4 linked regions of the Drosophila melanogaster genome follow. The protein of the gene in region 1 interacts with the protein of each later gene in a pairwise test. Each region holds a gene or a part of one and is shown in the gene's direction. Other genes may lie near its edges. The genes, in order: CG31626, Sirt4, teq and Dora.

Region 1 (7,285 bases):
GAGATTATCTTACCATTTAAAAATAACTAAAAGTATTCCAATTGTCCCTTTCTCAGTCTATCAAGATTTTAATGTATTTCCGTTGCTGTGTTGATAAGATTTGTTACCCAAAAGCCAGTTGGGATTTCACGTTTTACTCGTTTTGTTCGACTCACATTCTAGTCACATTTTCATAGAGAATTCGTTTAATTTGCGTGCACATTATGCGTATAACATTTCTTGTGCAATATGTACCCGACTGGAAGCCACTTGATGCCAATCGAGGAAATTATTGCACGACAAATATCGGATTTTTCACCTGTGAATTAATAACGGTAAATTACTCATCCAGCGTCGCGGCGGGCGCACTTGTATGGGTTAACGAGCGAGCAAGCAAGTCAACGAATTCACAATAAAATAAACAAAATGCAGACGCGAAAAATCGACGAAACTTGTTGGAGCTGAAAACGCGGAAACTGTTGCAAGCGAATCGAAACCAGAAAAACTTTTCTGCACACTCTGTCCAATCAGAACAAACACTCGAACTCTTCTCTCCCACACACACTACACCAGCACTCACACGCACAAGTTCTGCTCTTGCACTTGCCTCTTTCTACTGCTTTCTTTGAGTCTTGGGTTTTATTTTACACGACTGCGGCGCTCTTGTTGCGTTTTCCTCACCTTTCGCAGAGTTTATTGACATTTTCAGCGTTCGCTTTGTGCGCTGCTTTCTTCGTGCGCAATCTCTTTTTTCTCTCGCCAGTCTGTTCGCTCTTTCTCTCTTTCCCTTTCTTCTCTCCGCTCACAACACTTGCTTTTTTGTTTACAATGGAACGCTCGCACACACACACTGGTAAACGGGTCACTCACACGCACACAGAATAACCTTCAATTTTATCTTATTGCGCGCGCCCCAGTCACTCGTTATTCTTAAACTTTGCCGAAATTAGGATTTGCTTTGGTTCGCTGCTGCAGCTTTAAATATCAATCAATGTCTTTGCAATGCTGGTGTGGTTAGAAATCCACATTCACCTCGACGCCTCTTCCACACACCCATACACGCAGCCACGGACGACCTTTGCGGTGCGAGCGAGACGACCCGCCACAAAAAACTCCACTTCCGCTCTCTCGTTCACCCGTTGTGCTGACGGCGAAAAGGTTTTCGAATTAAGTACATACATATATTCTTATTCACTTATTCACGGATTTAACTACATATGCCACTGTAGGCGCTACCACTCTTTTTCGCTCACAGCATGAACGGTGTTTTGCGCTCGAATCCGATTCCACAACCGCTCTAGCGATCACACGACGCAACACAGTCCCGCCTGCGACGAAGTAGCAAAATGTTTGTTTTGTTAGTGGAGCTCTCGGTCTGTTAGCGAGCGTTGCCACCTTTCTGCGAGCTGTTGCTGCACACTGCCACTTTACGAACACAGATCTGATAGCGGGACAAAATACGTCAAGGCAGCGACGGTGGGTTACTAGTGAATTTGGAACGGTGGTCTTACGACGTAATGGTCTTTTATATTTTCATTATTTTTTAAATTGTCGCTCATTTACCAATAAACCTTTTTACTTTTTCCTGATAGTCCGAAGTCAGATCAAATAGGAAGTTTCACAAAAAATTTTCATCCAGAGAAAATACGCCGACGCTATTCGAGTTTTTTGTATTCGTTAACCGGGAAAGAATAGTTCGAATTCGTTCGCACTTTATCGATAGTAGATTGCTATTATGGAGCCCACTTGTAAAATAATTTAATTCCAGACTGATAAAAGCGATCAACTTTTGTTAGTGGTTTAAGTCTATGATAATACTTAGTTCAAATTGTTTCAAAGTAGTCGATAATTTATAATAACAGTTTTAGATGACCTCTAGGAAATAACTAATTACCCACATTCTTCAAGAAGTGTTTTCAATTTGTTCTATAATTAAATAACAGTTGTATTAATTATGTAAATATTGTTACTCATAATACAAATTAAACAATATAAACACACATAAATAAGAGAATTGGAATATTTTGTCTCAGATTAGATTTTCCACACGGGAAATTTAAATCACCACGTTTGGTAATATCGTATCGTTTTATCCTAAACGAAACACGCTTATTAATACATAAGCTAATTGTTTTTATACCCGTTACTCGTAGAGTAATAGGGTTTACTAGATTCGTTGAAAAGTATGTAATAGGCAGAAGGAAGCGTTTCCGGCCATATTAAGTATATATTCTTGATCAGGATAAATAGCGGAGTCGAACTGGTCATGTCCGTCTGTCCATATGAACGTCGAGATATCAGGAACTATAAAAGCTAGAAAGGTTGAGCATCGACTCGGCTTAATAAGAATATATTTTATATCTGTTAGACATTTTATCGGATGAATTGTAACAGGTATAATAAACGATTTCTTATATATCGTCAGACATGTGTGTATATTTTGAACGAAACAACTTAAATTAGTTTGTAATGTTATTTTATAAATTCCATCCTAATAAATATTACTGGATTTGCAATGAGTTCCTTAGAACATATTAGTACTCGTGTTTCACTAACCATGTCCATCAAGCTGACACTGCTATGAATGGGTATGTGTGATGGGTATCTGGTGGACAAGCTCTGATCTAAATGGTGTTGTCCATCCCAATAGCACTGACTTGTCTGTAGTCTAAACTGTGAAACACTCCTTTATTACTGAATTCTAGATAAATGTACATACATATGTATACTACGGAGTGGTTGCGAAATCAGAGGCAATCAGATATTGAAGCAAGTTCAAGTGACATACAATGGAATTGGTCGTGTATAGCCGCCTATAAAGACATTAATAGACGACCCCAAAGCTCTCATTTAAGCTTAGCTTTAGTTTTCGGTAGATACAACTTATTAGTGTCAGAGATATTGAGCTTTGGTCGGCCACTGCATTTACATTATTTATTGCGTAATATTTAAATTGATAAATTGCGCATATATGCTAATGCTAAGTCTTCAATCCATATGTTATATTGTATTTTCACGCATTTTTAGATGAAGAAAACATTCTTGACTCGGATCGACTACGATCCACATTGGCATATGTTTGCCGTGCATAATATGGGTATTCTCCATTTAAATGTCTTTGGATGTGGTTAGCTAATTGGTTAATTAAGTGAGACCGCGGGCAGAAAATATCGACGAAAATACATTTTTGTGCAAGACAAGCCAAGCCACGTTTCTCATTTCGAATCGTGGTTGCTGTGTGAATTTTTTAAAATTGGAATTATTAAAACGGATTACGCCTGTTTTATTTACCATTTGCGGCTCCTTCTTTTTCTGTAACAAAAAAATATGACACTGGTGGTTTAAAGTAGGCTAAGCAAATTCGCGATGCCTCATGAATAGGTTTCGCTTAAGTGACAGATGCTTTCAAATGCAGCATTTTTGCATTGGAAATTAAACCATATGCGAGTCTGCGATTAGTAATATATCAATAAGCAGAGCGCCGGGTGAGGGTCGATCGCAAGCGAAAAATGTTTCAAAATGTTTAAATATTTTTGGAACGTTGTCTTTGTGTACGTATTTCTAAAAGTTAGTTACGTTTAAGTATATGGGTACTTTTCTGAGCCCAGTTATCAATCAAAATGTAGGAATCATATTTTCGTAACTATAGGGGACAATAGCTATTAAACGCTTTAGAGGCTGTTTACAAAACAGTGAGGTGTCACAGTCCCGAAAAATGTTGTCTCACGATTGGGCAAAAATGCCCTTATAATGCCCAATCAGATTCAGCTTCAGCTTGGGTGGTTTCCACTCGACCCATAAGTGGGGTAAGTCCCATTTAATATTCAAAATAATAACCCCACATATGTGTGTATATACGTATATAGGTGTGTGTCCGTATTTACAAGTTTTCTGAGGCTAACGCCAAGCTGGTAATCCTTGAGCGCTTGGTCGAGCATGTAGTTTGGTCATTAGCACCGGCTAATAGTTAAACAAACTGATTTCCGCTAACTGCACCGGCGAACGCATATCAGTTGACCTTTGACATTAGCCGGCAGAGGCCCTTTAATCGCTTCGTGGCCAGCTGCCTCGCATGCAAATGAGTGTTGGCGTGTCCCGTGGCCGCTCGTCGGCGGAGTCTCGCGGCCAAGCTGCCCTATTGACATTGCCAAACCCGTCCAAATCCCCCGATATCAACGAGCGGCTGCCGGCGAACTGTCACGGTCTTAACCCCGCGCTGGGCACTAAAAAATTGCATCGAAGACTGCCCGGGCAGTTGGTCTGCTCGGGTTGGGTTTCTTGTGATAATACATTTTACTGTATTAGCATGAACAGTTTTCCAATATATCGAAAACTCCCCTTGTTTTTCTATGCATCTGGGTGTGGTTTCTTTGTTAGAGCTGTCAGTTAATTATAAAAAGTGTGCTCCCATATGAATGCTTGGTCCAAATAATTTAAAAAAAAATAACAGATCTCAACTTTTGCTTTAAGAAACTAAAATACCCTAAGCAAATAACCTTTAAGTAGAATTTAATGTAGTTTAATTAATTAACGACTTAATCATGTATTAAACAAGGCGAATATTATAGTTTTTTTTTTTTTAATTCTCCCTAAACCATATTCAAAACTTGAAAATTAACGTTTCTTAATGTTAATACGTAAGATCAAAGGGAAAAATAAAATAAATATATCTTTGTTTCGTTTTGATCGCCCAACAGCCGCCTCTGGGTTAATGATCACTGCTCCGCTCTCTTCTTAACTGTCTACCTTTTCTTCGACTAGAAGAAGCGCCAGGCCCACACCGAAGACGCGAAGACGGATATCCAGCAATAATAATGGGCCAGACCAAGTTAAGCATGGCTTTTGGTATAAAAGTGCGGGCCCATCTGCAGTTCGACATCATTCAGCTTGAGCGTCTTGCGACAAGAGCTTGCCAAAGCAAATCCAACGAACTTTAAAAGCCCGACCAACAAATCAATAACAATGGTGAGTAAACTGTCCACTGGTCACAACTTCGATCAAGAAAGCCGTTGGCCTTGCTCAACCGCTCGCCTTGGCCAACCGTCAAGATGTCGGGGATCCCGATCGCTCACTTGACCCTTAAATTTCCGCTTATTTTAGAAACTCTTCGTCTTCGCTGTGTGCGCCATCGCCTTGGCCTCCGCCGATGTTTCCCACCTTAACCTGGGCAGTGGTTATAGCTACAACAAGCCCACGCCGACCTTCAACATCCCCTCGGCTCCAGCTCCAGCTTATCTGCCACCCGTTCAGGAGGTGATATCTGCGCCGGCTCCAGCTCCTGTGTACTCTGCTCCTGCGCCTGCTCCTGTTTACTCCGCTCCAGCCCCAGCCCCAGTCTACTCCGCTCCGGCACCAGCACCTGTTTCGGAGTACCTGCCTCCTGTTCAAGACATCCCAGCTCCAGCTCCTGTTTATTCTGCTCCTGCTCCAGCTCCAGTTTACTCTGCTCCTGCCCCAGCTCCAGTTTACTCTGCTCCTGCGCCAGCTCCTGAGTACTTGCCTCCCGTCCAGGACATTCCAGCTCCGGCTCCAGCTCCCGTTTACTCCGCTCCTGCACCTGCTCCTGTTTACTCCGCTCCAGCCCCAGCTCCAGTCTACTCTGCTCCCGCACCAGCACCCGTTTCGGAGTATCTGCCTCCTGTTCAAGACATCCCTGCTCCCGCCCCAGTGTATTCTGCTCCTGCGCCAGCTCCGGTATACTCTGCTCCTGCCCCAGCTCCAGTTTACTCTGCTCCTGCGCCAGCTCCCGAGTATTTACCTCCCGTCCAGGACCTTCCCGCTCCTGCGCCCGCTCCAGTTTACTCTGCTCCTGCTCCAGCTCCAGCTCCAGTTTACTCGGCTCCTGCTCCCGCTCCAGTTTACTCTGCTCCTGCTCCAGCTCCAGTTTACTCTGCCCCAGCTCCCGTGGAGTCGGGCTACCAGTACAATGTGCCTGCCAAGCGTTTCCGCTTCTAAATGGACATCAGGTGGATTCCAAAGAGTTCCGCAGCCATTTGAGTGGTGACAGCTTGTTAAATTAACAAGTGCCGTCGCCCATTGTTGTTGAATATTTGTTGTTACGCAAAGTTCCCGTTGAGATTTTAGCTAATAAAAAAATTACAAAACAAAAAATATAAGCTCGCTGCAAAATTGAAATGGACGAACGGGTCCAGTGTTCCGCGGTTTCGCTGTCCCTTTTAAAAACGAGTATTTAAATTTAGCACCATAAAGCCTTTAGAGACGCGATCTGCCGGCTTACGTAGCGTTTACCGAGCGGTTTCAACAACGGCAGGTTATACAAAGATGACCTGAGGTGTAGGCCATAACTGCGTTGGCAAATTTTCGCAAAGAGATGTCGTTAACGCTAGCCACTCAACGAATAAATTTAGCGAATATGAGAGAAATCTGAAAAATGTGGCACAGTTTCAGTTCTACTTAAATAAATGGCTTGGGAAGAATAGTCGTTTTAAGTGGTAGCCGTTTTAGTATAAAAGTCAATCTTTTTGAGTTAAAACCATTGTATGAAGACTAGAATATCATATTTAATACTTTGTAGTCATAATGATATTTTGAAATTCCAATTTCGCTTGTTCCCTTATGCAAAATTCAAATGTTTCCCCTTATTAAAATTGATATGAGGTCCAAATTGTCCCAAATTTTAACTTCCACACCTTCACCGCTCTCTCTCACCAGGATCACTTAATTCTACAAGGACTTTCACGCAGTCTAGCTTTGCTATTTTACATTTTTTGGGCATATCAAATGGGAAAGCGCCATTGTAACCAATGCTAACCTTTGTTGGGCGCTGTTAAAAATCTATCCTCTTTTAATTAATTTCATTATAAGGCAATAGAAAACATCGAATTTCAAATACTTTCCACTAATAATAAATAGTTTTATTGTGAACATTATGTTTTCGCCCTTTTTTGATTTAGTACCATCTTCTTAACGTTATAATGGATACGCAAGTCAATCTTTTTAAGTATGCACTGCATAACTGGTTTACTTACATAATTTTGTAATTAACTCAATCTATATATTTATTGACTATATATATTTATGATCATAAGTTTATCTTATATTCGTATAATTATAATGGTATGTATAATTAATAACTTACTTTTATTGCGTTAGGGCTCAAATCATATAGAGCTAAATTAAAATACTAAAAGTAGTTGATGCTTGATTTAGCTAAACTGTAACAGCACATAAAGGGAACTAAGTTAAATACAACATAGAAAGCCGATGGGAGTGACGTTACAAAGCAATCAAACATAAAATTTCTATAAAACATTAACTGATCGCCAAAACCGAATTTAAAAGAATC
Region 2 (4,507 bases), on another chromosome or scaffold:
CCATTTCCTTTTCACGCCACGTGTCCCGGACTGGCTTCAGCAGCTTCTCCTCGCGCTCCCGTTCACGCTCCCTTTCGCGTTCCCGTTCGCGCATCTCGTTGCGCTCCCGTTCGCGCATTTCGTTGCGTTCCCGCTCGCGCTCACGCTCCCGATCCCTTTCACGTTCGCGCTCCTTGTCGCGAAGCTCGCGCAGCTCACGCTCACGTTCCCGTTCGCGATCCTTGGAGCGGGATTTGGAGCGGCGGCGACGTGTCTCCTTTGAGTCAGAGCGGCGCTCCTTCTGTGTTATCTCGATGGCAGCCGACGACGACTCCTTGCGTCCGGTGGAGGAGGCAGATTCCTTTGACTCCTTAACTGTTTCCTTGATCACAACAGCGACTGATTCCTTGTCTGTCTTATCCGACATGTCAGCCCCATCGGCGGCGGGTGTCGAAGAGGTGGCTGTAGCGCTGGAGGAACTGGCGGCCGCTGTCGATGAGCTGCCAGACTTGCTGGTCGACGACATTCGCTCCATTTCGCGCTGCTTTTTGCGCTCCTTCTCCTTGCTGGCCGCAAGCTTCTCCTTTTCCTTCTCCTTCTCCAGCTCTTTGCGGTGCTCGTCTTCCTCCGCACGCATACGGAATTTGCCTATCTCGCTGCTAATCAAGTTGCGCTTTTCTTCCTCCAGGGTATTTTCGCTTAGCACCTTCATCTTTATGTCTTCCTCGCGGCGTGTCTTCTTATTGCGATTGGCGCTGCCGTACAAATCGGCGCGACTGCTGCTATCGAATCCTTCGAACTCGTGCTTGTGCTCTTCCAGGAATTCGTGCATCTGGGCAATGGCGAACTCGTCCTCGGTCTTTTCGTCCACTGGGTTGGAACGATCGCCGTTCTTGCACTCCTGCTCCTTGTAATCCTCGATGAGAACCTTGTTCTTGGCATCTACCTTGGCTACCAGCTTCTTGCCATCGATTTCCATCTCGCTGAGCAGGCGAACGGCTCGCATTGCCGCAATAGGTCCGCTGAAAGAATGCCAAGGAAAGCGGTTAGGCAGAGTATTTATAGGAACAATTGGAGAGCCAAATGGGTGGACTGCCCGTTGGCTCTAAACATAAATGTATGCAAGCTCAACCCTGTGTTGTATTGCTTAAAGTTAGGTTACTTAAAAGTGCTCGAGTAGTTATTCGATCGCGCATATAGAATTTGAAGAGCTGTCGCAGTAGGGAGCATTCCTAGAAGTATTTCAATCTTTTTATAAATAAGCTAAGCTATTCTAGGAAACGCATCAAACAACGAGTGAGATGCGTTATGCTGCTGTTTATGCAATGGCTCTTCAATTACTTTTCTAGCGTTATTTAACTAACGAAACCTTCTTGTGCTGCCCTAAGCCTTCTAAAGTGATTTTGGGATGACCGATTTATGGTTGAACGTACTCAAATTCGCAGAAGCCGAATGTGGACACCCGTTTCCAATTGATTACCACGCCGCAAGCGTTCAGGATGCGTTTGAGCAGTGCCTCCGGGACGCGTTCGCTGATGTTGCCCACGAAGACGGTAATGATGGGTCCGCGGAACTGTGGTTGCGGCTCCGGCGGACGTTGGTATACTGTCGGCTGTGAACTAATGGTGGCCGAGTTACGGAAGCTCCTCGGCGGCTTGGCCATGTTCTGCATTATCTGAAAGCGGATGGAGTAGGTGGAAAAGGATTTGGCGTCAGATTCTGACAGCTTCATGGTGATTGTGACCCAGAAAAGGTGGACTTACGTGCGGCGGCGGTATGGCTGTATTCATGAAGGGCGGCATGGGCGCCCGCGGCGGGTACGACATCTTGTGCGCTGCGACTCCTTTGCGATGTCCTTTGAAAACACAACTTTAGCGAGCTTGCAAAATTAAAGCCGACAATTCACAAACACACTCACGCACGCACAGACGAGCGACACACACACACACAGGCACGCACGGATGGGCGCAAACGCCACACGGAGTGATAAATATGTGTGTGAATGTCCTGTTTCGTGCTTACGAAGCTGGACGCCCGCAAGGTTCACTGATCGAATCTCGGAAAGGTTGGCCTGTAACTTCTGGGTTCACGGCGCGTGATAAATCCACGCGTAAATTACCGAATAGAATATCTTTTTTCTGCAGCCGTTGCTCTAGAGATGGTAGCTGCTGGCAAGCTGCTATCGGCTGATGGCGTGTAAAAATCGATGGGGGTCGTACAGTTATCGATTGCCATTGCGGGGCATACAATCGATTTACAGCGGTAAGCGACTGAAGGAGTTGCCATCGATGTGCGTGCGCTCACCTCTAGTAACGTAACCGAAAAAGAACCAAATATTACTTGCAATAATACATAACAAAACAATGCGTGTGGGCCAGCTGCTCCGCTTCCGGAGCACCAGCTTGCGCAGCTCCACCGCCAGGCAGGAGTACGTGCCGCATCACAAGCCCGTCGTGGAGGACGACATCAAACGGCTGGAGGACTTTCTCCTGTCCAAACCGAATGTTTTGGTTCTCACGGGCGCTGGCATCTCGACGGAATCGGGTGAGTTTCATGATTTTCCGACTTTTCTATGTTCAGAAGCCATTAACACAAATATTTCAGATTGACTTCCAAAAGCTTGTACATTATTCATTTATTTATATAATGCTAATGCAAGTGACTTCTAGCTTATACTTGGATTCGCATTAGTATTTTATTTAAATCAACATTTCTGGCTGTCTAAAAACTTGAAATAAATTCCAGGGATTCCCGATTACCGTTCCGAAGGCGTGGGCCTCTACGCCCGCTCCAACCACAAGCCCGTCCAGCACATGGAGTTCGTCAAGTCGTCGGCGGTGCGCAAGCGGTACTGGGCCAGGAACTTTGTGGGCTGGCCCAAGTTTTCTGCCACACAGCCCAATGCCACGCATCACGCGCTGGCCAGATTCGAGCGGGAGGAGCGGGTCCAGGCGGTGGTCACCCAGAACGTGGACCGGCTGCACACGAAGGCGGGCAGCCGAAATGTTGTGGAGGTTCATGGCAGTGGCTATGTGGTCAAGTGCCTGTCATGCGAGTACCGGATCGATCGTCACGAGTTCCAGAGCATACTGGCGTCGCTAAATCCGGCCTTCAAAGATGCCCCCGACATGATCCGGCCCGATGGCGATGTAGAGATACCGCTGGAGTACATCGAGAACTTCCGGATACCCGAGTGTACGCAGTGCGGCGGCGACTTGAAGCCGGAAATTGTCTTCTTCGGAGATTCTGTGCCTCGGCCACGAGTGGATCAGATTGCCGGCATGGTGTACAATAGCGATGGCCTGCTTGTCCTCGGGTCCAGTCTCCTGGTCTTCTCCGGCTACCGCGTTGTCCTGCAGACCAAGGACCTCAAGCTACCGGTGGGCATTGTTAATATTGGCGAAACGCGCGCCGATCACCTGGCGGATATCAAGATATCCGCCAAGTGCGGCGATGTCATACCCAAACTGTTCGACTTTCGCAATTCGAAAAGCGTCAGTTAATACTCACAGTTGTTATATGTTGACCCCCACTAAATTTGTAGTTATGGAAAGCCAGGCTTTCTATTTTAGCTAAAAAATAAATGTTAATGATTACTATTTGCAAATGGAATGTAGCGTTGCAACGGAGCTCCTGATTTATGGCTGTGCCTTTGGATCATTTTCGCGCAGGCTCCTCTGGAGCGAAACACAATGACACGCTTTCCGGGAAAAGGATTCGCTCATCCCCCAAGCACATGGGTTCCGAGTCCATGTCCTCTCTGTCTCTCTCAGTGTCCTGTGCTCTGAAATTCCAGCACATCCCAACAGGAAGCGGAAGCAGGAGCGCCGGGGAGAGCTGCGCACTTCCGCTCGCTCCCGTTGAATGTTTTTGTTTTTGCTCCAGGCCGCTGCTCTCAGTGCTCCATATAAATGAACCGCAATTGAGGCATCGGCATCTCCCGCTCGCACACACAAACACACATCGCACACACACATACACGGCCAGTGACACTTTTCACACGCGGTTCATTACCCCCCCTCCTACGACAATCGTCCATTCCTGCTAGAAAAACAATGCGTAGACCTCGCACAATGGGCAAAATCGAAGGACTGCTAAGAATAATAATAATAATAATATAATTATATTAAGTAGTGGTCATGGTTAGCATATTTAAGCAGCATTATATCCTTTATATATGACAATTTCTATCATACATACTCGTCTACTGATTTTATGTCCAAAATGGTCAGATTCTTAACCATATCATTGAAATTCTTGGTCCAAAAATGGAATGTCATACCTCGTTGATCTCGTAATTTGACCCCCAAGTGATGGAAAATCAAATTTAGGCATTTTAAAATTTTGCCAATTTTTGCAAATTTTGATGATGTTACCCCTTACTAAAAATGAAAAATCTTGAAAAAATTAAAATTTTGTAAATCTTCCAAAAAGTGATATGGATGTTTAGCATTGGTAATAAGCAACACAAAACAGTAATTCTTTTAGCAATATGACCATTTAAGCGGTGTTATAAGGAAAAACCATT
Region 3 (5,682 bases), on another chromosome or scaffold:
AGAAAAACATACACCCGCTGCCGACCGACGATCCTGGGGATTTAGATAGTCGAATATGTGATTTAGTGCCACCGATGGTATTCTGTGCCATTCTGGTTGGCGTTGGCTAAAATTCATTACTCGATTTAAATGTTAATTGCGTTTCAAACAATGAAAAGTTGCAAGTGCAGCCGAGTACGCTGCACAATTTAAAATGCCAAATTAGAGTGACCGTCGCACGAGGTCGCAAATATGCCAAGACCAAGAAAACAAATATGAATACAAGCACAATTTTATCTTAAGCATATACGTATGAAATTAAACGTCAATTAAAAAACAATTTATGCACTTAAATTAGGTCTAGCCATTTTAAGTAAGCCGAGATAATTATTAATTTAGAAATTTCAAAGTGAGTAAAAATGCAAAGGAAATAAAAGTGTTGCTGTCGTATAAAATGACTGTATAAATTTTGTTATTGTTCTCTTATCAACGATTAAATGATTTCAAATTAATAACTGCATTTCAATGTTTCCTAATTTCGGATAGCAAAAAAAGCATCGTAAGTTAAGGGTTAATGCAACTACAATGCCTAGCTACGGCCACACTGATTGAAGCCGTGTTATGGTAACAATCAGCTGTTCACAATGATAACAACTCGCACTGCTGATTCTATATAGTTGTTTACGTTGATTATTAGTTTTATATTAATTAAAAATGTCAGCTTTGCTTCTTTTACGCACCTGTAGAAGTTCATCAATTGCTGGCATCTACAAATACACATACCAAGGAACAACTATTGCGAATCACACATGCAATCATCGTCTGTCGTCTACAGAAGCGGCGGCCGCGAGTGTCCAACTGGCAAATGCCGGTGGATTGGTGGGATATTGGCAGACCTTGTCCAACAGCACGCCGGTGGCCTATATGCAGGATGTTCTCATTAAGATCCACGACTACAGTGGCCTGCCCTGGTGGGCGTCCATCGTGCTGTCCACTTTCCTTTTTCGGAGCGTGGTCACCCTGCCTCTGACCATTTACCAGCACAAAATCACCGCCAGAATTGAAAAGATAGCGCTGGAGATGCCGGCCATTGTGGAGGAACTGAAAAAAGAGGCAGCCATGGCCAAGCACAAGTTCAAGTGGAGCGAAAAGCAGACTCAGATTGTTTATCGGCGTTCGGTTTGTTAAAATTCAAATGTTTGCGAGACACTCTTCGTCATGTCAATTATCTTACAGATCAAGAAGCAGTGGCAGAACCTTATAGTTCGGGATAACTGCCATCCCATGAAGACCATGATTGTGCTATGGGGTCAGATTCCCCTGTGGATCTTTCAATCCGTGGCTCTGCGCAATTTAGTGTACATGCTGCCGGATCCCACGTCCATTCAAGCTCAAATCGTGACCACCGAAATGACCATTGGCGGATTTGGTTGGATACCAAACCTTACGGTGGTGGATAACTCTTATATCCTGCCTGTAGCATTAGGTCTTATCAATTTGGCCATCATTGAAGTGCAAGCCATGTCTAGAACTCGTCCTTCTACACGCTTGCAGAACATCGCCAACAATGTGTTCCGTGGATTGAGTGTTGTGATGGTTCCAGTAGCCTGTACAGTGCCTTCAGCTTTATGTGTATACTGGGTAGCTTCCAGCAGTTTTGGCCTTGCTCAAAATCTGCTCATCCTCTCGCCGGAAGTGCGACGATCTGTGGGAATTCCCAAAACACAAACGGAACTCAGTGAGCCGTACGATCTGCTCTGGCTAAAAATACAGCAGAGGCTAAGACTTGCCGAGAGGGCGCCGGCTGATAAGCCGGCAGCCAAATGATCTAGTCTCTTAGTCATAATCACCTAGTCTAATTTGGGTATGACGTTTAGTTTGTTTAAATGCGACTGCGCCACTGTAATTCATCATCATCATTCTTAAGCTCCAACATCTCAGATTCATAGAAGTAAATAAATGAGTGAAAAACCCCAAAAGAAATGCAAACAAAACAAGGCGATAAGACAGCAAAAAGGTCTTGAGATTACAAGCCCTGATAGTGTGGTCCACTCAATTGGTTTGGCGACAAACGAGAGCATCTATCAGCGGCGGCAGAGATAGAGATTCATCCCGAGTCCAATTGAATTGAAATGCGATCTGGGTGTGGGTCAGTCGAGCCTGGAATTCGAACGGGATCACAACGAAGAATTTAAAGCGCGAGAAAAACAATTGTGTAGTTGCTATCAGCATCGGTGCATTTTAAGAAATATTTAAATTCAAATACTTATAAAGCGGAAACGTAAAATGATGGCCAAGTGGCTCCTTGGCCTTTGGCTGGCGATCCTGCTAGTGGATGTTAGTGTAGAAAGTTTATTAATAATTTCAAATTGTGTTTTTTAAGGATATCATCTAGATTCTAGATTATTTACAATTTTTTAAGATTTTAGTCAAACTAAAAATGTTGTTTAGGAATTTAAAACGCGCTTAAGACTTTAATTTTAATTGAACTTAATTACAAGCTATTAGCTAAATTTTGCCTCTAATTACTTACGGTTGTTCAATAATATTTCATAATTGCGCTTTTGACAGCGACCCGGGGCTAAAGCTTATCGATCAGGCAGTGGCTACCACAGCGAGCAGTCGGAACCAGTTGGCTTATCAGCAACAGGGAACGCACACTCGAGTTACGGAGGCGACCAGCAGCAGCCTATTTACCATCGGGATTCGGCATGCCCGCCGCATTTTACGGGTCTGGTTGCATATCCCCACGACTGTCATCGCTATGTGAACTGCTTCGATGGCAGCCCCACCATTCAGACGTGTTCGCCCGGAACTCTGTTCAATGACAGGACCCAGGTGTGCGATCATCCCAGCAATGTGGTTTGCCCTTCAGCGGAATCTGCATCTACTCGACTGGGAAGACTTAGGCAATTAGATAGTGAACCCAAGTGTCAACCGGGAGTGAATGGATTGCAACCGCATCCTTCGGATTGCAGCAAGTTTCTTAACTGCGCCAATGGTCAAGCTTTTATTATGGACTGCGCACCAGGAACTGCTTTTAGTCCAGCATCACTGGTATGTGTGCACAAGGATTTGGCCAAATGCGGATCGGGAACTGGAGCAGTACGAGATGATACCTCCGGCACCGGTACGTATGAGTGATTTAAATACAAAAATCTTGACTAACACTCGGTTAGGCTACCCTGCGTTGCCTTTTGATGACTTGGGCTGTCCACCCGGTACACGTGGGCTTCGTCCACATCCGCACGACGTGCACAAGTATTTGAGGTGCGGAATTGGGGTTAAGCCTCAGGTGGAACAGTGTCCACGGGGCCACATCTTCGATGGCTCCTCTTCGGTATGTGTGTATTCTGACTCCCCTCGGACCTCCTGTAAGTGTCATTTCATTTCTTATCCCTACTGCTTGGCCTCGCTTGATTCATCTGCTTTTTCATTTCGGGTTATTTTCTCATATTACGCTGTACACGCTTTGCTTGCCTGCTTAGTTGATAGACTCTAATCCTGATCCCTTTGAATTGTAACAGCTTCCTCCTTCACGTCGGCTGAGATTCAGGTCAACTATCTCTTGTGTCCAGTGGGAGCCGTTGGCCAATTTGTTCATCCCTTTGATCAAACAAAATTCCTTAGTTGTAAGGATGGTAAATCGGCTGTGCAAAACTGCCAACCTAATTATGTGTTTAGCATATCGAGGCGCTACTGTCAGTTAAAAGCACAATTAGCCTTTACCGACTATGTCACATTAATTATCTCCGAAATCAGCTATGAGTATTGTAAGTTACTTTATCATCACTGTACACTAGAATTTATGATAATATTTTACTAGCACTTATCCTTAATGCCTGTCCTGGTAACATCAACGGCATCTTCTTGTATCCCTACGATGCTAAAAAGTACGTTCAGTGCTCGTCTGGTGGCAGAATGTCCATCCTAAGTTGTGGCCCCCAGATGGCATTCAGTGTATCCCAAAGAAGTTGTCTTCCAAGTCATCAAGTGCACATATCTGATCGGGTGCAGTTCTGGCAGGAAGTCCAAGTTCAGACCACTTATACTTCTCAAGACTTACGGGGAAATGTTCAAAGCCAGCTGTCTTCACTTAGATCGTGTCCACCCAATGTCCAGAAGAATTACCCTTATCCATTCCATGCTGGCCACTATGTCAGGTGCCAATATGGAGCATTAGAGATCATATGCTGTCCCACTGGACAGCTTTACAGCCTCTCCCAGCGTCAATGTGTGCCTCGTAGCCTTCTCTCTGCACATGATTACTTGGATTACTCCTATATCAGTGCTGAACTTTCCAGTAAGCATCTCAAGGAATCTTGATGACTTGGACTTGATTTCAGACCACTTTTTCGTTTACAGCTGAGTTTATGGTGGATCGTTCGACGCTTTCTTGTCCTCCACAAGCACAGGGACTCTATCTGCATCCCTTCGATTGCACCAAGTATGTCAGGTGCTGGAATCAGCAGACCTTCATTGAGAGTTGTGTAGTATGTGCCTATGCAATATTAAGAACAATTAAATAAAATAGCATATTAACTTATGGCAGCACTTTGTTGCTATGTTTATGTTTATGTTTATGCACGCAGTTAGGCCAGGGCGGATGTAACATGATCACCCACTCGAAGGCCACAAAGTATAAGTGCATTGCCCACTCGAAGGCAAAAAGTATAAGTGCATGGTCAGCATTCACACGCCGACCAAATACATATTACATACGTACATACATATCTCGCTCTCCCGATAAGCCTAGATATATAAGATATACATAAGAACGCCGCTCCGCTGCTGGCGTACCCGGCAGCGCAGCTACGCGGATTAGCCTAAGTCCAAATATATAAAAAACTGTAAAATCGGAGAGACTCTGTAGACGTTGAGCTGACAGAACCATTTCTGCCTACTCTAAAATCAAAAGAAGAAATTGAATAAATATATGTCAGCCCGACGGCTGCCTTCAACTTAAAACGGACTTGTGTTCTTAATTGGAGTTCATCATTACATGGCGACCGTGACAGTCGTCCAACGCTGGACGAATTGACCAAAGCTGGTGAAAACAAAGGAACAAAGGAACACTGGACTGGAAGAAGACTGGACTAATTAAATGGAACTGCAAAAACCAAGGAAAAATCTGAGTGAGTAGAGTTCTATTGAGTATGGGCAAACACCGTGGCGGTTTGAAAACTAAGCTGAATAAACGTATAGCCCACGTAAGGTGGCTAATATACGGTCAGCAAACGCCACCGGTTTGGTCGAAAGCTCTAAAGCTACATGCAGAGCTAGACCACTTGTTGCAATATCAGCAAGAATTAAAGACCCATAAGCTCGAGAAAACTCACTCAGATAATATTAAAAATATACCCACAATTAATGAAGTTCCAAAATACCAGGCATGTCCAGCACCAGCACCAGCATTAACAAAACCAAAGAAGTCCTGCCCCCCTGGCTGCGAAGGAATCTGGAGTCCCCACTGCCTGGGGACTTGTGAGCGACCATCGACGTCTTCAGCGGCGAAGAAATAGACAGCAGCGAGGGAGTGTCAGCGTGCCACCCCCGGCGACGCCCAGCTGACACCTGATGAGCATCATCAACAGCAGAATATAATAATAAATATATATAAATATAAAGTAAATATAAAATATATATAGATAAGAAAAATTGTAAGAAATATTGTAAAACGGAGCATATACTATTATGCCCTGT
Region 4 (5,749 bases), on another chromosome or scaffold:
AGTCTTTGGCGTTATCAATTCCGCGTACTGTTAATTCATTCTAAGCGAATGTATAACGATAAACAAAAGCAAAGGATGTGAGGATTTGAATCAAAGGCATAGTAAAGTATTTTGGATGGAATTGATTATCAATCAAGGGCTAACTTTAAAAAAAAAATATCTTTGACAAATTATTGGGCCAAGTCCGTCTTTGTATAGTGAAAACAAGTAACATAGTTTCCGACATACAAGCTATGCTTGATTTTTGAATCGGATTGGGTCACTACTTGTCCTCCGGCGAGGCGGAGGTGGCCATTTTGGCGAAAGACCGCGGCGGAGTGGGGCTGCGTTTCTGCAGGGTACGCATGCCGAGCGAGTAAGCCGCCGTGTCCCCCGAAGCGGTGTCCGTATCCGAGTACTCGTCATCGCTCTCGCTGGCATGTCCTGCATCCGTCTCGTACGGATCCACCTCCTTCTGATACACGTTGCTCATTTGATCCGTAAACACATCCGAAGCGACGACCCCGCCGTCGTGTTGATCCTCGTTCTCATAAAAGAAGTACGACAACTGCAGGTGCTCCTCCGCACAGTTCGTGCTCAAGGCGTCCGGAATCAAGTGGCCATTCGTCTCGAGGCGCTTCTGAATCTTTAGGAACATGTTCGGTGATACATCCATTTGGGGCAGCGTCTGCTGCGCCTGCCACTTCTCCAGCAGCGGCGGATTGGCTCCAAAAACGCCGTAGTACAGCTTGCAGGCGCGAAAGCAGCGTAGTCGGTTCGAATTTGGGCGAATGCGACGCAGCACACGCAGCTGTGACTCCACCACGTGCAAAAACATGTATTGCTGATTTCGGTTGGGCAGCGAGGTGACCAGCACCGCACGACTGGTGTTCAAACAGAGCTGAGGCAACGGTTGAGGCCACAGCGAGTGCAGCAGACGCTTGAAAAGCTGCGTTAGCGTGGAGTTTTGGAAGAAGTGGCGATCGGGGGCATTTGTCGCCGCTCCTGCGGGACGCCAACGTACTGCATCAGCCCAGATGCGAGCGGCGGCGCCATCGAACATGGTCAGCCCCAAATAACGCATGCAGCGCTGGCAGTACAAGTGATCGTCGCGATTGAGCATGCACGAACTTTCTTCGTTAAAGTTGATGACCACATAGTTGAGGCCATAGAAAAGATCCGTTTCGGCGGGCACTAAGCTAATTGGTTGGGTCTTGCCCGCTGGTCCATGATTGTGGCAAAAGAACTCAGTGGGATCCACCAAGAGGCTGGGAAACTCCCTCAACCTGCGATAGCTTCGGCCTGCCACCAATTCCGCTCGGCAATCACGACAGTTGATAGTGATGGGCTCGTTCTCCTGGCAGGAGAGGAGTAGTGGCGCCAGAGGCACGTCCACAGCGCTTCCATCCACGCTGGCCAGATCAATCTGGTTGTAGTTGAAGCGGAAACTGATGTTCCTGCCACTGACCAAGAACGTGGACAGGCAGACAATGTCCATACCATACTGCGCGTGCCGGATGAGCATCAGCTTGTCGGAGTCCTCGCTGTCGCTTTCGGAGCTGGAATCCAAGTCGATTGCCTGATTCTTAGGTTTCTCGCTGATATAAACATTGTAGTCGCGGACGACGACGCGAGTCTTCTGGCTCTGCGAAACCTGTTGGTCGAATCGCAGGAAGACCACGCCGCTGCGTAGGTTCGGGCGCAGTTCGATGCACAGCCCGGCGATGGGCATCTTGACCAGTTCCTGGGAAAGCGCGAGAAGATTGTGAACACCACCAACAAAATGGGCCTATCGTTACTTATGGTTTTTCGATATTAAGAGCGTCACTCGACAAAAACTATCGATTGTCAAGAATGAATGTCAGTGTGACCGTCATTTGAAAACTGGGAAATCGTACGCGGAAAACCGATACTATTGACCTTATCGAATATTCAGCCGAAAATGATCGAAAACCCATATCGAGTGTGTGAGCACTATCGCTGACCACTAACACCAACAACGTTTAGGAGCAAAAGAGTCGACGATGCGATGGGTAAAAACAAAGCCCCGTGTAAAAGTGTCCGAAAACCGTGCGTAGCATCAAACAAATCGTAACTCGGCCAGCGAATCTAGGTGCCGTTGTTTTCGGGGACGCGTGTGCAGTGCCGTTTTAAGTGTCGGTAATCGCCAAAATCCACAAAAAATTTAAGGATTTTTTAAAAAAACGTTCGCTAAACGCATTTCGTTCGTTCACTCACACACACACGTAAACCTAACACACGCACAGACGCAGACAAACACAACGCGCAGCGCATATACACACACAAAGAAAAGAAGGCAGTGAAAATCGACAAGCGCACGCATGCACACACACACTGACAAGCACGCAGGCGAAAAAGTGTTGATATATATCCAATATATTGATGTTGTGTGCAACGTTGTTGTTGCTGCTGCTACTGCTGTGTGAGTGAGTGAGGGCGAGCGAGAAAGAGTGAGTGCGGTGCGCGCAGGATAAAGCGAAGATGAGCCACAAAGCGAAGGAGTGAAAAAATAATTAACGGCAAAGCGGACTGCAAAGCGCAGAGCGGATAAAAGAGGAGCGTTAACAACAATAACAACGACTGGGGGTCCCCTGCAAAATCAACAACAACAGCAAGAACCACATCAACAATAATAACAGAAGCAAGAACATCAACAACAAGAACTACAACTACAAATTGGCCCTCTTATTTCGGCAGTCGCATAGCATAGCCCCATCTCGCTCTCTCGTTCGTTGGGGGATACGAAAAAGTTCACATGCAACAACAACGACAACAAACAATAGCAGTCGCAGTCGACGCGGGCAGAGGCAGCGACAGAGACCGCGGCGCACTGAACGTATTTTGTACATATAAACAAAAATAGTTTTTAAACTCCCCAAAATCTAAATCTAAACCTAAAGTTAAGTCTAAAAGGGAAACTTAGAGCCCTAAGCATAAATCTACAGTTAATAAGTTAATTAAAAGCAAGCGAGTCCGGCAGTGTGCTTGAGTTTGAAAGGGGAGAACCGAAGGAGAGGAACACAGCGAGAGAGAAAAGAGGAAGAGAAGAACGCTCAAGAGAAATTCGCCTTTTACACGATTTTAAATTGAGCGTTTGGCAGAGATCCATTATACATATACATCCATCCAAAAAGAGAGGAGAGTAACAGTGAGAGAGACGGAGGAAGAGGAAGCTGAGGAAAACAAACAAACGGGGGAGCAGCTGAAGAAGAAGAACAAGAATCAGCTTCAGCAGTAGAAGGAGCAACTGTAAACACACACAATCTCAGCCTCACGCTGGCGAATCGCAACGGCGGCAACAACAACAGAGGAGGAGGAGGCGGCGGTAACAACAACAACAATGGAGGAGGCGGAGGAGCGGCTGCAGTCGGCGCTGGCGCCGAAGGAGCAGCAGGAGGCGGCGCAGGAGCCGGAGCGGCGGGCAGAGACGCTGCAGGAGCAGCGGCCAACGAATGGAATCCGGAGGAAATGGACCGCTTCAGCTTCGACGACTCCATCCGCTTCGAGGAAGACTCCCTCTGCAGCTGGAGCTCTGAACCGGAATCGCTGTGCAACAACTGGCGCGGCTGGAAGAAGCCCGCTGCAGGCAGCGGCGCAGGCAATGGCGGCTTGAGCGGCATGGGCGGTATGGCTGTGGCCGGCGGCTCAGGAGCACCGCCGTTCGGAGGAGCAGGAGCCTCTGGTTCCTGCACACCGGGCGGCAATGGAACGGCCATGGCCAACACATCCACCTGCGGCAGACATTATGGTGAGTAGCATCTCCTTGTTGCTAGGGCGGGATTTAGGGCAGTGTACCCGGACCATTGAGCATTACACCAGTGAAACTACAGTTGTGAAAATCACAGATACAAATCTAAACTGAAGAGAGCTTCTTAAAATCCGAAAAACATTGTACAACATTGACAGTTTTTAGAGTTCGAAAAGTGTGCGTCCTAAAGATATCAAAAAAGTATCCTCTTTTATTCAGGAATTAAGAAAGACTTTCTCATAAGAAGCTTTCATATGTCGCATACAAAAGATATTGACTTCCTTAATTGTTTTTAAAACCATAAGGCAACCAAAATAGTTTATACCTATAACTTTCCCTTTACAATGAGAAACTTACATGTACATTTTATACAGATTTATATCCGTATAGCGTTAAATAATCAATTACTTGCTACACAATTTACTTTTTAAGCTAAGTAGAGTGATATGCTTTAGTTCTATGTTTTACTAGCTTGGTCGCATTTGGCTATTTGCAATATGGCTACACTGTGCTGCCTGTAATTATACGCATGACCTTTTCGCTTTTGGTAAATTCTGTAAAATTGACTTAGGCACAACAACGAGCAGGCTGTAATTGTTGTTGCCCTCTGTCTGCAATTGTCTTCTTCGTTTCCCCGCATTTCCTCGAAGTCCTCTGCTTATCGCTGAAGTCAAAATCACGACTTTGGCTGCCAACGTTTTTTATTTTCATTCGTTTATACGAGTTTCCTTTTTACCTTTTTGTTGCGTCCCTTTGTCTTTCCCTGTGGCTCATTACGCTTGTGCATGTGGCTGGGGTATTGTTTTTTTTTTTTGTTTCGGGCCTGCCAAGAGACGTTCCTTACACGTTTTCTGTATCCTGTGCGCCGCCGCACAGCACTATCATCATGTAATATCTGGATATCTGGCTGCGACTGCGCAGTTCGTCCTCGTCGCTGTTTCTCTTTCGTATCCTCCATTCGTCTTCGTCATTTGCCCATCCACTGCATTCGTTTGCTTATTTTCCTTTGTTTGACTGAGCAGTGTTGCTGTGGGGGGAAACAGGACTATATTTGGAAGGGTCAAAGGACTAAACAGAGCGGCAAAGCCGCCAAAGAACCTCCAACCATTCAGTTGTCTTCTTTGTGGATTCTTTGATAGCCAGGGTTACCAGCTTGTTGATTTTATTGATATTTATTGATACTAAGCACTAGTATTACAAAATATAGTATATGTACTAGGCAAAACTAGCTGAACTTTGCTCAATCTTAATCATTTTTATCTTTCTGTTATGTTATACAAATCTTTTACTTCCTATAAACAGAGGAGTTAGCCAAATATCTATTTGTTCATATGCTGTTGGTTTGTAAACCTAAAGGACCAATAGATAGTAGCTTAAGCTATTCGATTTTGGCGGGAAAATAGCCAAAGAGCTAGCCCTGCGACTGGGTTTGTGTGTGTGTAGTGGCGAAGCCAGCTGCATTTTCATGCTCGAAAGACATAATAACCGCATCAAAAAACTATATTGCCTCAAAACGATGTCGCTGCTGCCAGCTGAACACGCTGACGTCGACTTCGACGTCGATGCTGAGGCGACGAGAGCCTCGCTTTGTTGTGTCAAAGAACCTTTTCAAGGATACCACCACAACCTGCCCAAGGGGATGTAATAAAAATAAAGACGAGGACGACGACGACGACGACACGGAGGAGAGTCCATTATTCCCATCGCACCTTGTAGCTCCTCCGCCCCGTTTGCTGTGGCTCCCCAGATATGGTAGTTCTTCAGATAGTTGAAACGGAAGAAGCCCATTGATTTGATCCACAATTGTCAACGGCTTCTGATGCGATTGAAGGCTTATGTATATACATCATAAGAATTCTGTGCGTTCGAGCATTTAACATGCCATAATTGAAATGTTTTAAGCCAAGCTATGGTGCGCAACCAGGGGGTTCTATTTATTTTTAACTAGCATCTTACTTACTTAATTTGAAGGCATGATTTACCATTAAACAGAACATTGGA

The links.
Region 2: the proteins of CG31626 (region 1) and Sirt4 interact in a two-hybrid assay, tested with the Drosophila melanogaster proteins (one large-scale study listed by BioGRID).
Region 3: the proteins of CG31626 (region 1) and teq interact in a two-hybrid assay, tested with the Drosophila melanogaster proteins (one large-scale study listed by BioGRID).
Region 4: the proteins of CG31626 (region 1) and Dora interact in a two-hybrid assay, tested with the Drosophila melanogaster proteins (one large-scale study listed by BioGRID).

What each region holds. Positions count from the first base shown.
Region 1 is NT_033779.5:21,231,294-21,238,578, reverse strand, and holds CG31626 (uncharacterized protein), read left to right. Parts: upstream 1-1,845; 5' UTR 1,846-1,935; intron 1,936-4,543; exon of another isoform or gene 4,544-4,676; 5' UTR 4,677-4,941; coding exon 4,942-4,944; exon of another isoform or gene 4,945-5,079; coding exon 5,080-5,934; 3' UTR 5,935-6,084; downstream 6,085-7,285.
Region 2 is NC_004354.4:5,663,704-5,668,210, reverse strand, and holds Sirt4 (sirtuin 4), read left to right. Parts: upstream 1-2,270; 5' UTR 2,271-2,342; coding exon 2,343-2,523; intron 2,524-2,583; exon of another isoform or gene 2,584-2,724; coding exon 2,725-3,482; 3' UTR 3,483-3,583; downstream 3,584-4,507. Other genes in the region: CG4119 (uncharacterized protein), read right to left, coding at 1-1,001, 1,413-1,654, 1,743-1,805. UniProt on the Drosophila melanogaster protein: NAD-dependent protein deacylase. Catalyzes the NAD-dependent hydrolysis of acyl groups from lysine residues.
Region 3 is NT_037436.4:9,072,514-9,078,195, forward strand, and holds the start of teq (tequila), read left to right. Parts: upstream 1-2,129; 5' UTR 2,130-2,265; coding exon 2,266-2,316; intron 2,317-2,550; coding exon 2,551-3,109; intron 3,110-3,158; coding exon of another isoform or gene 3,159-3,353; intron 3,354-3,506; coding exon of another isoform or gene 3,507-3,752; intron 3,753-3,805; coding exon of another isoform or gene 3,806-4,282; intron 4,283-4,344; coding exon of another isoform or gene 4,345-4,508; exon of another isoform or gene 4,509-4,943; intron 4,944-5,682. Other genes in the region: CG4911 (uncharacterized protein), read right to left, coding at 1-117; CG4942 (uncharacterized protein), read left to right, coding at 694-1,158, 1,216-1,806.
Region 4 is NC_004354.4:18,861,972-18,867,720, forward strand, and holds the start of Dora (dorado), read left to right. Parts: upstream 1-1,978; 5' UTR 1,979-3,468; coding exon 3,469-3,748; intron 3,749-5,749. Other genes in the region: CG7326 (uncharacterized protein), read right to left, coding at 263-1,711. UniProt on the Drosophila melanogaster protein: Substrate recognition component of a SCF-like E3 ubiquitin-protein ligase complex that promotes target-directed microRNA degradation (TDMD), a process that mediates degradation of microRNAs (miRNAs).